Notamacropus eugenii: one gene and its partner. The protein of the gene in region 1 interacts with the protein of each later gene in a pairwise test. Links are inferred from orthologs where the notes say so. Each region holds a gene or a part of one and is shown on either strand. Other genes may lie near its edges.

Region 1 (7,333 bases):
AGGCTGAGTTCAGGAAGCGAGGGTAGGAGTCCCTATGCATGAGGGTGTAGATCTGGAGCTGGGCATCATCAAATGTATTGGATGATGGCTCTTGCATCTTTTTGTTGATGACCTCTCGTACCCTGGAGTCCAGGCTCACCTGAGTATGAGGATCATAGGTGAGCATGCATTCCTGGTACCCTGAGGCTTACCAGTCTTGGGGGTTGGGGCTTACCTTCCCCAGAGGCCACAACACTGGTGGCCCCCTCTCCTTCCCTTCCCTCCCTGGGGTTGGACAGGATCATCCCTTCTAGGGATTCAACCTCACTGGCCTTTCTGTATTTTCCCCCTGCCACCCTCCTGCTGACTCCACACTGGCAAAATGGGGAGATTAATTTTGGACTAGTCAGACCAATGCTTGTCTCCCAGGGAACAGGCAACATTGACGAAGCATCTACCAGATAATGACACAATCCATCCCATCACCCTGGTCCCTCTTTGGGGTAAATACAATGCCAAGCATTAGCGGTGATCTTGGCCCCAAAAGGGTTAACCCTGTCCTGGAGTGGAGGATGGGCTTGGTGACTGTGGGAATGAGATAGAAGAATGAGGGCAGGAGCCTGAGCTGGGGAGGAGAGGGGGACACTGAAGTTACTGAGGTTCTCTGGGGGCCCTAGGCCGCACCTCTTTGGGAGACAGGATGGAAATATAGTCCTCGTAAATAAGCCGAGCCTTCTCATCGATGACTTGCTTGTTGCCTTCTCCCTTGAGCTCCTCACAGGCCAGCCAGAAGAGCATGTTCTCTTCACTGTATTCTGTACGAAGGAACTCCCGGAACACATTGCGGCCAGCAGGATTCTTCATTAGCTTGTCAAAAGATTTTGCCCAGCTCTGGACCTCCTCTTGGCTAGGCTTGACACTGCAAATGTGTAAGTCCACATGGAGGAGATAGACATTTGTGAGGGTATCATCTGACCTTTATTCTCCCATCACCAGCTTTCTCCACTCCCCTCGTTCTCCAAAGCTATTTTGCTTGGAAAATTCTGAAATTCCCTCAGAGCCAAAGTTAAGCTTCCTGACTGCTGAAACTTGCTAATCCTACTGTGAAGTTCCCCAGGGGAGAGAGCTTCCTTCTCCATGATTGTGGGCAAGTAATGGGAGGGAATTACCAAGTTTCACAGTTGGGGATGGTCTCCAGTCTGGTCTCTCTAGAGGTCTTCCAAGCCCGCTGCCGATCTTCATTCCTAATGGTGAGATTGAAAGGTCATACCAGCACCCAGCACACTGACATGGTCACACCCCCCCACCCCCATACCCTTCTCACACAGGAGCACATGTCCTGATATAAGCATGTGGATTCGGACACATGCTTACAGATAGAGGAGCACTAGTGCATAGTTATACATAGACACATTCAAGACATGTTACACATACATACATTCACACTTTTGAGACCCCAACCTAGGCTCATACATCCTCACCTTTTCATATCTTTTATAAGTAAATCTCCAAGCAGGAAGGGGGAAGTTCTGGAACCCAAGACTGAGGAACAACACTTCCATAAGATGTCCCTAGAATTTGGGGTTCCAAGGGAGGAGAAAGAGCATGCCTTTCTGCCTCTGCCACCAGTAGGTTTTGATTGCTTCATCTGGCCTCAGCATGGCTAACCCTTTCTTCCTTAGCCTTCTCTTTCCCCAGGAATAAGACCAGGCCTCAGACACTGAGTGAGACTTTCATTTTCTCTAAGAAGACTTCAACTTATCTAGTCCAGTGATCTTTTCTTTCTTTAGTATTTTGAAGTAGTTATATAACATGGAGTTATAGAATGTCAGACCTGGAAGGGGTTTAGGAGATCTTATAAGTGTAAACTCTCATCTTAGAGATAGATAAAAAAAGATTAACCAAGGAAAGAAGATCACTTGCCTAAGATCACACAGCTAGTAAAGACTAGACCATAGGATGTAGCACTTGACTGTGTCTTACTCTTTCCTTTCAATCTGCAAGATCCGTCTTCATTGACTGTCCCCTAATGATGGTGACAGTTGCCATTCCTGCATCTGTTTCCTCAAGACTGGCAAGTGCCCAAGGACGGGACCCCAATCTGCTCATCCTGTTTTCTCAGAATTATCAGTTCACCAACGGTGAGGATAGAGTCTAACTCCCTTCATGGTGGCAAGAGGGATGAGATGGCTCCAGAAAAGGCTGGATGGCTGCCACTTACAGACTCTTAAGGTCAAATGCTACTGAAGTGTGTTTTAACTACCGCATTAGATTATCTGCTTTCCTGCTCTACTATCAGTCAAGTGACCTGAAGGGTAGGTGCACTGGGGTCAAATCTCAAGATTTTAGTTGAGGTTGTCAGTCTTTGGTTCAAGTTTTAGAGGTTCTACCCAAAGGAAGAGGGATGGCTACCTGTGATTGTAATGACTCACAACCAATAAAGCAGCCACCTCGTAGGTGTTGGAGGGTACCTGCCTAGGAGGTGCTGGTGTCAGGATGGCAGAACACCATTCTAGATATTCATTTGTTAAGGCCACCACACACACACACACACACACACACACACACACACACACACACACACACACACGCAGATGTGCAAACATGTTTATGTACATAAACACTTACCATGAACAGCTGCAGCAGCAGCACCAGCAGAAGCAGCAGGCATTGGGCCGGGAAGGAGCCAGAGGGGCTGGGTCATTTCGGGACATAGATGGGGGCCTGTCTGCCTCCTCAGGCCCTGTATGCTGAAAAACAAAAGTAAGGAGGCCTGGGGCCCTGCCCCAGTGTATGGTTCCCCCCAACCCCAGGGTTGATCCTTCCCAGACTGGGCAGCTCATCTTTCCCACTTTCTTCTTATTCTCTGCATTCCAAAGGTATGTTGTAACCATTTCCCTGAAAGGGCAAATTGAGGTCAAGGTGTTGTTCTCTCACCTGCTTCCCAGCCTCATCAGCTGTCGGCATGAATGGGCTGTATTTGTCCCTAGTGCTCCTTCCACTTTAGGCCCCAATGCCCACACTCTTTGCTTACACGTTCTGGGAAAAATAGAGAAATAGGCTTAGTCCTGAACCTCATTGCTGAACCTTCTTTACTCCTCTTAGAAATAAGGACCTTTGCCTCTACTTCAAGCACAGAATTTCCCCCTTTCAGCTTCTGTTCTTTTTCCGTTCGGGAAAAATGGACATGAGAGGAGAGCTTGGGCTAGATTTGCAGAGAGGGCCACTGCTTCTCCTTTATTAGAGTAAACTCAATCCTAGGCTGGGTTTCCCAATACCCAGCCAAGAATGTGATCAACCTGGCTTCCCAGAGATAAGGAGGAGGCACTTTGGGCTCTGCTGTTTTGGTTATCCCATCATTCCTGCCTTCATTGGTCTGAATAATTCAGAGTGGACTGTACTTGACTCAGGATTGGTTCTGTGGGCGAAGGAAGAGACCACAAAATCCTTTCCCTTCTCCTTCCCCACTCATGACTGTTCTTTAGAAGTGACTTCTGGTTACTCAGCTCAGGTTCCTGACACATCCCTGAGCCTTGAATAACAAGGTGAGGTCCCCAATGTCCTCTCAGTGCTGGTTCTCCCATTTTCCTTTCTCCAGAAGCTAAGATAGGGTGAGTGAAAAGGCAAGATACAAACAGAAAGTAACAATAGAAAGTATGATTAGTAGTAAAAAGAGAGAAGAGAAAGTAATAGATGAGAAGTAGCTGGAAGTTAGAATGCCTACATCACAGTGAGTATTGTGTGTATCAGGAGATAACATATGTGAAACACTTTGGCTATCCATGTCAATTATTATTTTTCAGAAGCACTCCTCACACAACTGAGGGAAATCACTGCAATTGAGGGGGTGTTTTGATTAGAATCTGTTAATTGCAAATCAGAGGCACCTGACTAGCACTAGGTATCAGAAAAAGCTGAAATGCCCCAGAAAAAGGTGGGAAACATCTAAAAAAAAAATCTAGGAAAAAAATTTTGCTTGAAATTCCTTCCTACAATTCCCCTTCCCCCTCAACCCCCTCAAGCCTGAGGCTGTCAGGAAGAGGAAGCAGCAAAAGCCCACACTGGAACAAGGCATCTCAACTTCAGCAGGTAAAGAGAACAAAGGGAGTGTTGTGGATAAAGTGTGAGCTAGTCTCATTATAACAGAAGGTGAGAAGGCTGGAGCAATGTCTGTCTGTCTACTCTTCAGTTTATCACAAAGAATTAAAGGATTGAGAGAGAGATGGGGAGAGAGAGAGAGAGACAGAGAGACAGAGAGATACTTCTGAAGGGTAACACAGTGTGTGAACCTGGCTCTTATGACCTTTCCTGAAGCTGTGCAGACTTGATCACTATCCATTTTTGGTGATTTGTGTAGAGATGAATGATATTGCTAGAAGGACCCTCTAAAACACCACTTGGGATTATGGGGTCCTAAGCAATAGTTAGGACAGAGGTCATACTTTCACCAAGTATGCAGATCAAAGGTAAGAATGATGGCCAGGAATGGATAATATCTAAAGAGGACTGGTAAACAACATATTTTCTTGCAGGTCTGTTCAGGAGGGCTTTACATTCAAACTAGAAAGGGAGCGGGGAAAATGGTTCATATTATTTACCAGGGCAGATAATAATAATATATAACAATCTAGGTGCTTTACAAATATTATCTCATTTGATCCTTTCAGTAACCCTGGCTGGGTGGGTGGGGAAGATAGGTGTTATTATCCTACGTTACAGTTGAGGAAATTGAAGTAAAAATGGTAAGTGACTTGGCTAGGGTCACATAGCTAGTAGGTATCTAAGGCTGGATTTGAACTTGGCTCTTCCTGACTTCAGGCCCAGTACATTATCCACTGCACTACCTTGCTGCCCTAGACAGCATTTGACCTATAGGTATAGTGCAGGATTTAAGGACTAGTCATTTGACAACGTCAAATAAAAGTGACAGCAATAAAACCCACATAAAAATAGGTAAAATAAACATAATGAACTAGAGATGAATGAGAGAGGTATTAGTAAAAGCCTTTCTTTTCTTTTTGGCTGACTTGCTCTGTAGTTTGGTGGTTTGTGGCTCAATGAATAGAATATGGCTATGAAAAGTCATATCTTATTCAAGAGGATCAGACTAGGCAGAGATGAAGGGTCAGTAACTTGCTACTTCAAAGATGTGGAATCCTATGTGAGCATGCATGTGTCTGAGGAGAGGAAGCCTGGTGAAGAACATCTGGGAGCTAATCAAAGGAGGAAGAAGCCAGTGACACAGTCAATACTGCACTACAGGCTACTAGGGCAGCTGGATGGTGCAGATGATGAGCTCCTGACAGAGCACCTAAAGACACGGAGGCAGAATAGAGCTCTGATGGAGGATTTCAATTATTTAGACAATTCATTCAAAAGGGGTTAAGAACTGATTAAGCTCTTCTGTTTGCAGAGTACTATGTGAGGTACTGGAAGAGGTGGTGGTGGTGGTGGTAGTGGGAGTGATAGGTGATTGACAAAGCTTAGAGAAGACAGTGTTCCTGCTCTCAAGAAACTTAAATGTAGGAGGGCAACATAACACAAACATACATAATAGTACATGATAGGTGCATTGGAGAGTTGCAAAGCAGTGTTATATGAGATTTGAGGCAAAAGCATATTTTTTTGAGGCATTAGGGAAAAGCTTCATGGAGGAGGTGGCATTTGAATGGAGTTTTAAAAGATGAGGAAGGAGAGAGGAGGCCAGAGGGCATTCCATAGGTAGGGTAGGTCAGCCCACTAGTGGAGACACAGGAGGAAGGGTTAGAGAAGTAGGAGAAGCAGGAGGGGGAGGCATCTTTGAAGCCAAGGCAGTAATCAACAGTGATGAAATCTGCAAATGGAGATTTCATCTCCTTATTTCTCACCCGGCTGGACTATTTTGGTTCTTCTCTGACTGACATCCCCCCTCCCCGCCCCGGTCAGCTTCCTTCTCCTTCCCCCCACCCACTTTTTAGCTTCCATTTTATATGTAGTTTTCTCCAATTGGCCTGTAAGCTCTTTGAGAGCAGAGTCTTTTTTCATATTTGCATCCCCAGCACTTTGCAAAGTACCTGGCAAATAGTAGATGCTTAATAAATGGACAAAGGACTAGTAGAATGAAAAGAGACCATTGGTATTGGTGATTCTAAGGTCATTGGTAACATTGGAGAGAATATCTTTTGTTGAGTGTGTGTGTGTGTGTGTGTGTGTGTGTGTGTGTGTAAGACAAGTTGTTGAGCAGAGAATGTGTAGTAAGAAAATAGAAGCATCAGGTTTTTTAAAATTTTTTTTGGTTTGTTTTTTTTTTTGAAGAAATTTAGCAGTAAGGGGAGGAGATAGAGGAGCTGGTAGTAGGGTAGAAGGGTCAATGGAAGGCTTTTTAAGGACTGGGGAGACCTGAATATGTTTGGAGGCAAATGGAAAAGGGCCATTAGAAAGGGGAAGACTGAAGATACAAGAATGAGGGGGTCTGACTAAGAAAGCAAGATAAACAAGAATATTGCCTTCTTAAAGCCAAGAGGGATATGGAATGGGTGGTGATGCTGAGAAGTTTTAAGGAATGGAGGAGAATGACTGAGGGAGTTCATGTCAGGCCTCAGTCTTCTCAGTGATGCAGGAAGCTAGGGTTGTGTGTTCTGTGTCTAGGAAGAAGGATAGAATTTGGGGGAAAGGGAAAGGAGAGAAGAAAAGGTTTGCACCAGACATTATGGGGAATTAGATAAAGAACTGGTAAAATTAGAGTAGGGTTTTTGAACAGTAGCCAGGGCCCAGATGAGTTTATATACTATAAATTTGTGATGGGAGAACTCAGTTGAATTTGGGAATTTTCTTAAGTAATACTCAGAGCTGTGTTGGAGAAATCACTGAATCTCAGACATGGAAGGGACCTCAGAAGTCATCCAGTTCAGTTGATACCAGAAGGGATGTTTCCCAAGTTTCCTTGGGAAAACCCAAAACAACATCCTTGACAAATAGTTCCTCTTATGGGTTCAATGATAATTTCCCACAGAGACTACCCCCAAATCTATATAGCCACCCTTAATTTCCTGTGTGCTATCTTGCATCACCCACTTGTCTGCTGGCTGTCTTTGCCTGGATAGCTCATAGGAACCTCAAATTCACCATGTCCAAAATCGAGCTCATTATCCTCTCCTAAATCCACGCCTCTTTCAAACTTCCTAATCTCTGTCATACTCTAGTCATCCAAGTTTATTCTTCTCTTTTTTCCTACTCCCTCCCCCCTCTACCCTCATCCAGTCAGCAGGTACTATCTCCACAACATCTTTCACATTTGTCTCTTCATTTCCCATTTGTTACCCTTGTCTGGACTATTTGAAATAGCTTCCTAACTGGTTTTCCTGCTTCCAGTTTC
Region 2 (7,027 bases), about 22 Mb from region 1:
TCTTAGTTCTGAAATCGCAAACAGGCTTCCTCCCTCACCCACCTCCCCAAGAAAGAGATTTTTATTTTCCATTGTTTTCCTGCGGGATGCAATTACTTCAGCTATTCTGTCAAGTTGAAAAATAATCATTTTTGTTTACTGCATAGCAACCCCTAATTAGGAACCTTGTGTATATGTAAAGGTGTCACAGCAAACCGACGTGGAAGCCTCACTAAACGGTCTCAAACGAACTCCAAATGGGGAGGATAACGGAAGTAGCAAAGACACAAGATCGGTGGTGGAGAATGGAGCACAAAAATCCCTGCACCTACACCTTCTAAGTCCCCTCCCCCAAATCTAAAACAAACCTGCCTTAGAACTCCCCAAGAAACGTTGGGTATCAAGAACAAGGAACAATAAAATGTGTATATTCAGAAAGAGGGTGAGACTTTTATGGAGATTATAAGATTTTCTTTCACTTAAAAATAATATCAATAAAAGAAAACATTTCTATCAATAGTCAAAATTCCAGTTAGTCTAATTAAAGACTGACCCCTTGAGTAGAAGGAGATTTGGGGTGGCTGCAAGGTTTGTTTTAAATCTGCCTTGTAGGTAGATTTAAATATAACATACCTTATTCAGCAAACAAATAATGTAAGTGCCATGGAGTTAGCCCATGTCAAGAGATCAAACATCAGGGAGGGTGGGGGCAGAGAGGAAAGAGCTGAGAGATAGAAAGCTGACATTAAGCTTAATTGACACAGGTCTTTTTGATGGCTCTGCCCTGGTTACATCTGTGCCATTCACATCAGCCTGGAAAGCCACCCACTCCTCTTCTCTCATCTTGAGCCCCCCACCCCATGGGAGTATATGTGAATGTATGTGTCCATGGGAGAGAGACAGAAGGCTAGAGATAGAGAAACCCCCACTACCTCCAATTCAGCACCAAAACCATGAACAGCAGACACTTGATTTTCCACCCAGAGCAAAAGACAAGGTCCCCTCCCCTCCATCTTCTAGGCAAGCCAGAAATAAATCCCTGCCACAGGTGCAGCTGTGAGAAGGGGAGGAGAGAGAAGAGTGGAGGATGGGGTTGGGGAGGGAGGGGATAGGGAAAAACACCCCACCAGTAGGAAATAACATTCACAATATTGCCAATAGTGATGATGCTCTGATCAATATGGCGGACATTGTCATTCACACAACTACAGCCCCCACCATCATCCTTTCTCCTCACCCCTCCCTAAAAACATCTCTCCTGGGAGATGGGGTGGAGGGAAGAGAAACACCTAAGGTGGGAAGAGAGATGGAGGGGGTGTCAAAGTGTTATGTGTTTGTGGACAAGAATTACAAACGGGGCCTAAAGGAGAGCTGGAAGAAAGGGAAAAAAATTAAAATCCCAATACAATAGGGACTTACTTCATTTGCTTCACAATGGTGCTTTTGCCTGATTCTCCAGCCCCTGTAGGGACAGACAAAAAAAAAAAAAGGAAAAAAGCTAGTCAGTGTCAGGCTAGAAGAACTGGGAGATTACACTGGGAGGAGGAAGGGAGCAGCTGGACTGAAGGATGCAGGGGATCAGCTTTTTTGGCAGAAGATTCGTGTGTGTGCAATGGCTTGGTTATCTTGTTGCAAATCTAAGAAGGGAAAGGTCTCTCTGGACTCAGGACAAGTCTTCCTGAACACAGAATAAGGGAGAAGGGTGAAGAAAGGGGTGAAATACAGAGGTGGCGGTGGGGGCGTTGTTTGGAATAGGGTGCAGCCTGGCTGTTCTGGGGGTCTGGCGGAGAGGGGTGGGGGTGAGGAAGTGGCCAAGGCTCTCTTACCCAGCAAGAGTAATTTCACGTCTTTGGCGGCGCTGATGCCATCCTCTTTGAGGTTTTTCTCAATCGCTTTGCTCCTCTCCAAGGCGGCTCTCTCCTCTGCGCTCAATGTACATCCCATCGTGACACCCAAAACAGCCCGCACGCCTCGGCTGGCACGGTTCCCCTGCTCGGCTTGACCCCCCACCCCACCCCCCCAGAAATATTTATTTCTGTCCTTTAAAAAAAATCGCTAATTTTCTTTCCTTCTTTCTTGTATTTTTTTTCTTTTAAAAAGAAATCAAGTTTCCCAAACACAATAAAAATGCAGCCCCTCCCCCCAAAAATTCGCAAGGTGGATTTCAGGCTACTGCTCCCTTTTCCGGTCACCTGCAGGAGGAGGCTGGAATCGGGGCTGGGGTCGGGGCTGGGGTGGTGAGCTCTAGAGACAGGGTTGCGGGTCTCTCCCAGCTGCTGGCGAGCAACGCATCCGAAAAGAGGCAACCACCGCCGGGGCTCCGGAGCAGCGGCGGCGGCGGGGGAAGCAGCGGCGGCGGCAGCAGCAGCGGCGGCAGCGCGAGGCTGCGGACTCCGAGGAGTATTACAAAAAATTAAAAATAAAAATAAAAATAAAGGGCAGAGGCGCTCGATGGAGCCAGGAGCCGGAGGAGGGTGGGGATGGGGATGGGGATGGGGGGGCAGCCCGGGTGGATCCTTCGGTAGAGAGGATTATTAGGACGGTGATTAGTATTGCATCCCCTCCCCTTCTCTTTCTTCTTTTTTTTCCTTTTCCCTCTTCTTTGGGGGGCTTTGCAAGCGGTGGGGAAGGGGGGAAGGGGGGGAAAGGTTTCTAGCGGGCGGTGGCGGCGGCGACAGCGCTGGCTCCCAGAGATCGCATCGTTCAGTGGATCCTAATGGAGAGAGAGAGAGAGCGAGAGGAGAGAGAAGAGAGGAGAGGGAAAAAAAAAGAAGGGGGAAAGAGAGCCTGGGAGGGAGGGGGGGATGAGAGGGAGGGGGGAGGGAAGGAAAAGAGCGGAGTGCGCGAGTGCGCCAGGGGTTCTAGCCCACACCGCACAGGCTCGCCGGCCTCAATGACGTCAGCAGGGACGCGCGCCTGCTCGCCCTGGGACTCGAGAGCGGGCGGCTTCGCCGGGCCCTGGGGAGGGGGCGCGAGCGAGCGAGAAAGCGCGCGCGCGTGTGCGCGCGAGGACTCAGGAGAGCTCTCCTCGCCATCCCCATCCCCGACGTTGTCGGGAGAAGACGGAGGGCGGAGCCTGGGGTGCAGGCGGGCGCGCGCGCGCGGCCTCGGCTCCCCCGCCCCGCCCTTCCCTCTCCTCGTTCTCAATGGGAGCGCTGCAGCGCAGAGGCAGTGTAGCAAGGTGTAGGGAGGGGGTCGGGAGGATGGAGGGGGCAGGGGGAGGCTGGCGAGGCGTGCGCGCCTCCTCCCTCCTCTCACCTCCTCTGCCCCCTCGGCTCCTCTGCATTCTCCTTCGCTTCCTCCGCTCCTTGTCCGCAGTCGATGTGCTAGCGGAGGCCCAGCCACATCCCCCAAATGGAGGCCCTTTTTAGGGCCCAAACGACTTTCTTTCGCGGGGTAGTAGCTGAAAGTTTTCCATTATTTTCTGGTCAGGACGTGGCTTTAGTCGAAGGCTCCGGGCCGTCTGAAGGAAGCCCAAGAGCCACGAGGACCTCGGGGCCATCGCGTCCAGTCCCTTGTTTTGTGGATGAGAAAACCAAGGCCCGGAGGGACCTCCGGGACCAAGATCCTTATTTGACAGATGAGAACACTGAGTCCCGGTGCCACCCAGTCCCAACCCCTTGTTTTATCGTTAAAGAAACAGGTCCAGAGGGACCCGAGAGACCATTTAGTCCAAATCCCTTTCCCTCCTTATTTTACAGGTGAGGAAACTGAGGCACAGAGAGATGAAGCGGTTTAGGATCACAGAGCTGGAATTCAAACCTAAGCCCTCTGATTTACAGTTCATACAGCACTGCTTGCTGGAAGGAACCTCTGATCATCTAATTAAGCCTTTAGAAGGAAAGTTAGGTCCAGAGTGGGTAAGTAAGGCTTGAATTGTCAGAAGGAGAAGGGATCTTGGATCATAGATTTCAGCTCATTTCTTACTGATGGGAAAACTGAGGTCTAGAAAGAAGAGACTTGCTGGAGTTCTGTGGCAGAGCAGACTCTGGAACCCAGGTTCTCCTGGCTCCCAGTCCAGACTTCTTTCCATTACAAGTTGCTAAGAAGGTAAAGACATTCTTCCGCATAAGACATTGAGAACATCAACAAACATTTATTAATGCTAATATATATATATATATATATATATATATATATATATTACACTTGGAATAGTACAAGATTTGAATAATACAGAATTCCTGCCCTCAAGGAATTTCTAGTCTAACTTAATGCTACATACCCAGAAAATATTTTAATGACTTTAAAAATGACCCCTTTTGATTTAACCATTTGGTTTGGGTGGAGTGGATTTAATTTAGAAAAATTCAGGGAACTTAAGTCTTCCCCCCAAAAGGAGGTTTTTTGATGTAGATTCTTAGTGAAGAAAAAAGCTACTCTCCTTGTAATGGCTTCCTCCTTTAATCAACTCTTTCTTCCTTTCATTTTTCTCACCTGATAGAGATTGAATAATAGGCCAATCCATCAGAATAGTTAATTGAGCCAATGTTGTACAAACGTGAATATTCTCCAAAATAACTGGGCTTGTTTTCTGAAGAAGCTCATTCTACATGTAAAACTGCTTTTAATAATTAGTTCAAAGAGATAGCCTCTCCAGAAGAGACAAATTTCTCTTGGAGAACTAAACCATCAGGAAAGGTTTCAGGGGGAGTATAAATTAGTGGAAACCTTGCCTAGAACCTTTGGGCATCATCATGGTTCTAAAAACAAATCCATTGGCTTCATTGCAATAATAAAAGCAGATACTCCTGTTTTGGAAATATAAACACTGATAACCAAAATAAAGGTCTGCACCCAGAAGAAAATACTTGTGTTTGGGACTTGAAGAATTCTAGAATATTGGCTTAGATATTGTGGAAGATTTATGAAAGGACATGGACAAGAATCACATAGCGTGAGAAGTCATGAATGGATTGTATTGGCAGAGGGAGGGGTTCCTAAATCTATTTGATCTCAGATACATTGGACCATTGAAGTAGATAGATAGATATAGATCTACTGTCTACATCAAAGCAAATATTTCCTAGCACAGGCATATCTTATTTATGAAATGGCTCACATCCTCAAATGCTGTATAACATGTATGTTATTCAAGTTGTATGTAAGTGTATTGCATTAATGGGGAGGTAAGGCTATTCAATAAAGAATTCTATGGTAAATCCTTTTGTAAAGTGAAGATTTAGACCTTTATTCATCATGTTTGCTTAAAGTGTGAGTACACATGTATAGTTCTGGTCTTCAGAAAAAACCACTAGTCCTCATAGATTATAAATTAGAATTCAATTACACTTCTCTTTAAGAGAGTTTGCTGCCCTCTTCAAAGGATACTAAGGTGGTGGTGCATATATACTAAGCTGGAACCTTTTTTTTAGTACATCTTATGAGAAGAAACTAACTAACCCGTATGGAGATGCATTTTAAGAATCATGGGATCATAGATAGTGCTCAAAAGGACCTCGGAGAATAAGGACTAAAAAATAGGATTCCATTATTCCATTGTGGGAAATGGGAACAGTTTATATTTGAATTAAAGATCTGATTTGCCTCCTGTCACTTATTCATCAACATTATTTCTTGGGAAAGACGTTGGACTGAGAATCAGAAGAGACAGATTCTACTCCAGACTATTCACCAGTTATGGACTTGGAGAAGTTCTTTCCTTCTTTGGGCTTCATTTTGCTTATTTTTAAAATGAAGAGGTTGGACTAGATTGGCCTTTCCCATTCTAAAGGTCTATGATTTTTGTTGTTATTGTTTGAAGTTATAGTGTAAGCCTACGAGAACATCTTGTTGTTCTTAGTCCTTCATACTCTGACGAGAACTAATGATACCATGATATTGGGGTCAAGGTACAGTGTGTTCAGCTATGGCTGATTAGTCCAATATGAGCTTGGAAGGCTCTGCCATAGGTTGGGTACAAATAATCCATTTGAACATTTGGTAGGAAGATGTCTCTAGATTCGTGCATCTTACATTTTCCTTTGTGCTACTTCATAGAACACAGCATCTTCTTTGATTCAGGCATGCCATGCTGGGTAGTTCTATGCCAGAATCTCCCACGTCTCATTATGAATACTGAAGTTCTTCAGAGGCACCTTGAGAGTGTCCTTGTACCACTTCTTCTGACCTTGTTGTACCGACTTCCTAGTTGTATGCCTGTGAAGCCTAGACATTTGAATTGTTTTAGGAAGAGTCTGAAGATTATCAGGCAGGATAAAGTAGTGAACACTGAGGTCTTCTGTCAAGGTGTATTCTGTCAAGGTATTCAAACTGTGCTACAGAGAGTGGAGTTCTGATAGGCTGACCATGTAGTCCAAATGCCAAACCCACACCTACCTAAAAGACTATTTTTTGGAGAACTCAAGGCAAGAGCTCTTGAGAACATCCAATTTTCATGAAAACCCCAAAATATCCCCAGCTTCCATGATCCTTCATTCCTCATCCTAAAGCTGGTAGAATAGAAACTTGTGTTTTGAGACTTGATTTGGACTTTTTTTAGGGGATGTTTTCATATGAATAAATATGTTTGATTGACATATTTTCTTTTTGTACGGTCATCCTACTATCTTAATTTAAAGTACTTGGTCCTTATAAAATACTATACCCATGGAACACTTTATAAAATAACATGCTGCATATATTTTGTATAATATATAATATTTGTAAAATAACCCCAGAGGAGCTCACAGCCCAGAAATGGGGTACAGGCATACCTTGTTATATTGTAGTTTGCAGATATTGCCTTTTTTTTTTTTTTGTTACAAATTGAAGGTTTGTGGCATCCTTGAATCAACCAAGTTAATTGGTTCCATTCTTCCAACAGCCTGTTATCACATCCTGTCACTGTCACATTTTGGTAATTCTTGTAATATTTCAGACTTTTTCGTTATTATATTTGTGATCTCTCTCTCTCCTTCGCTCTCTCCCTCTCCCCCACCCCAACCTTCCTAATCCCTGAGACACAACAATATTGAAGAATATTACATAAACTTAGTTGACAAAGTAGTCGCATGGTTTGAGAGGATTGACTCCAATGTTGAAGAAA

Evidence for each region.
Region 2: the proteins of RGS19 (region 1) and GNAO1 interact in a two-hybrid assay, tested with the Homo sapiens proteins (2 studies listed by BioGRID). The link is inferred for Notamacropus eugenii from reciprocal best matches to the Homo sapiens genes RGS19 and GNAO1.

The regions. Positions count from the first base shown.
Region 1 is NC_092872.1:496,030,324-496,037,656, reverse strand, and holds the start of RGS19 (regulator of G-protein signaling 19), read right to left. Parts: upstream 3,019-7,333; 5' UTR 2,947-3,018; coding exon of another isoform or gene 2,917-2,946; 5' UTR 2,874-2,916; coding exon 2,608-2,873; intron 1,224-2,607; coding exon 1,149-1,223; intron 899-1,148; coding exon 664-898; intron 140-663; coding exon 1-139. UniProt on the Homo sapiens protein: Inhibits signal transduction by increasing the GTPase activity of G protein alpha subunits thereby driving them into their inactive GDP-bound form. Binds to G-alpha subfamily 1 members, with the order G(i)a3 > G(i)a1 > G(o)a >> G(z)a/G(i)a2.
Region 2 is NC_092872.1:473,622,589-473,629,615, reverse strand, and holds the start of GNAO1 (guanine nucleotide-binding protein G(o) subunit alpha), read right to left. Parts: upstream 3,020-7,027; 5' UTR 1,924-3,019; coding exon 1,806-1,923; intron 1,442-1,805; coding exon 1,399-1,441; intron 1-1,398. UniProt on the Homo sapiens protein: Guanine nucleotide-binding proteins (G proteins) function as transducers downstream of G protein-coupled receptors (GPCRs) in numerous signaling cascades.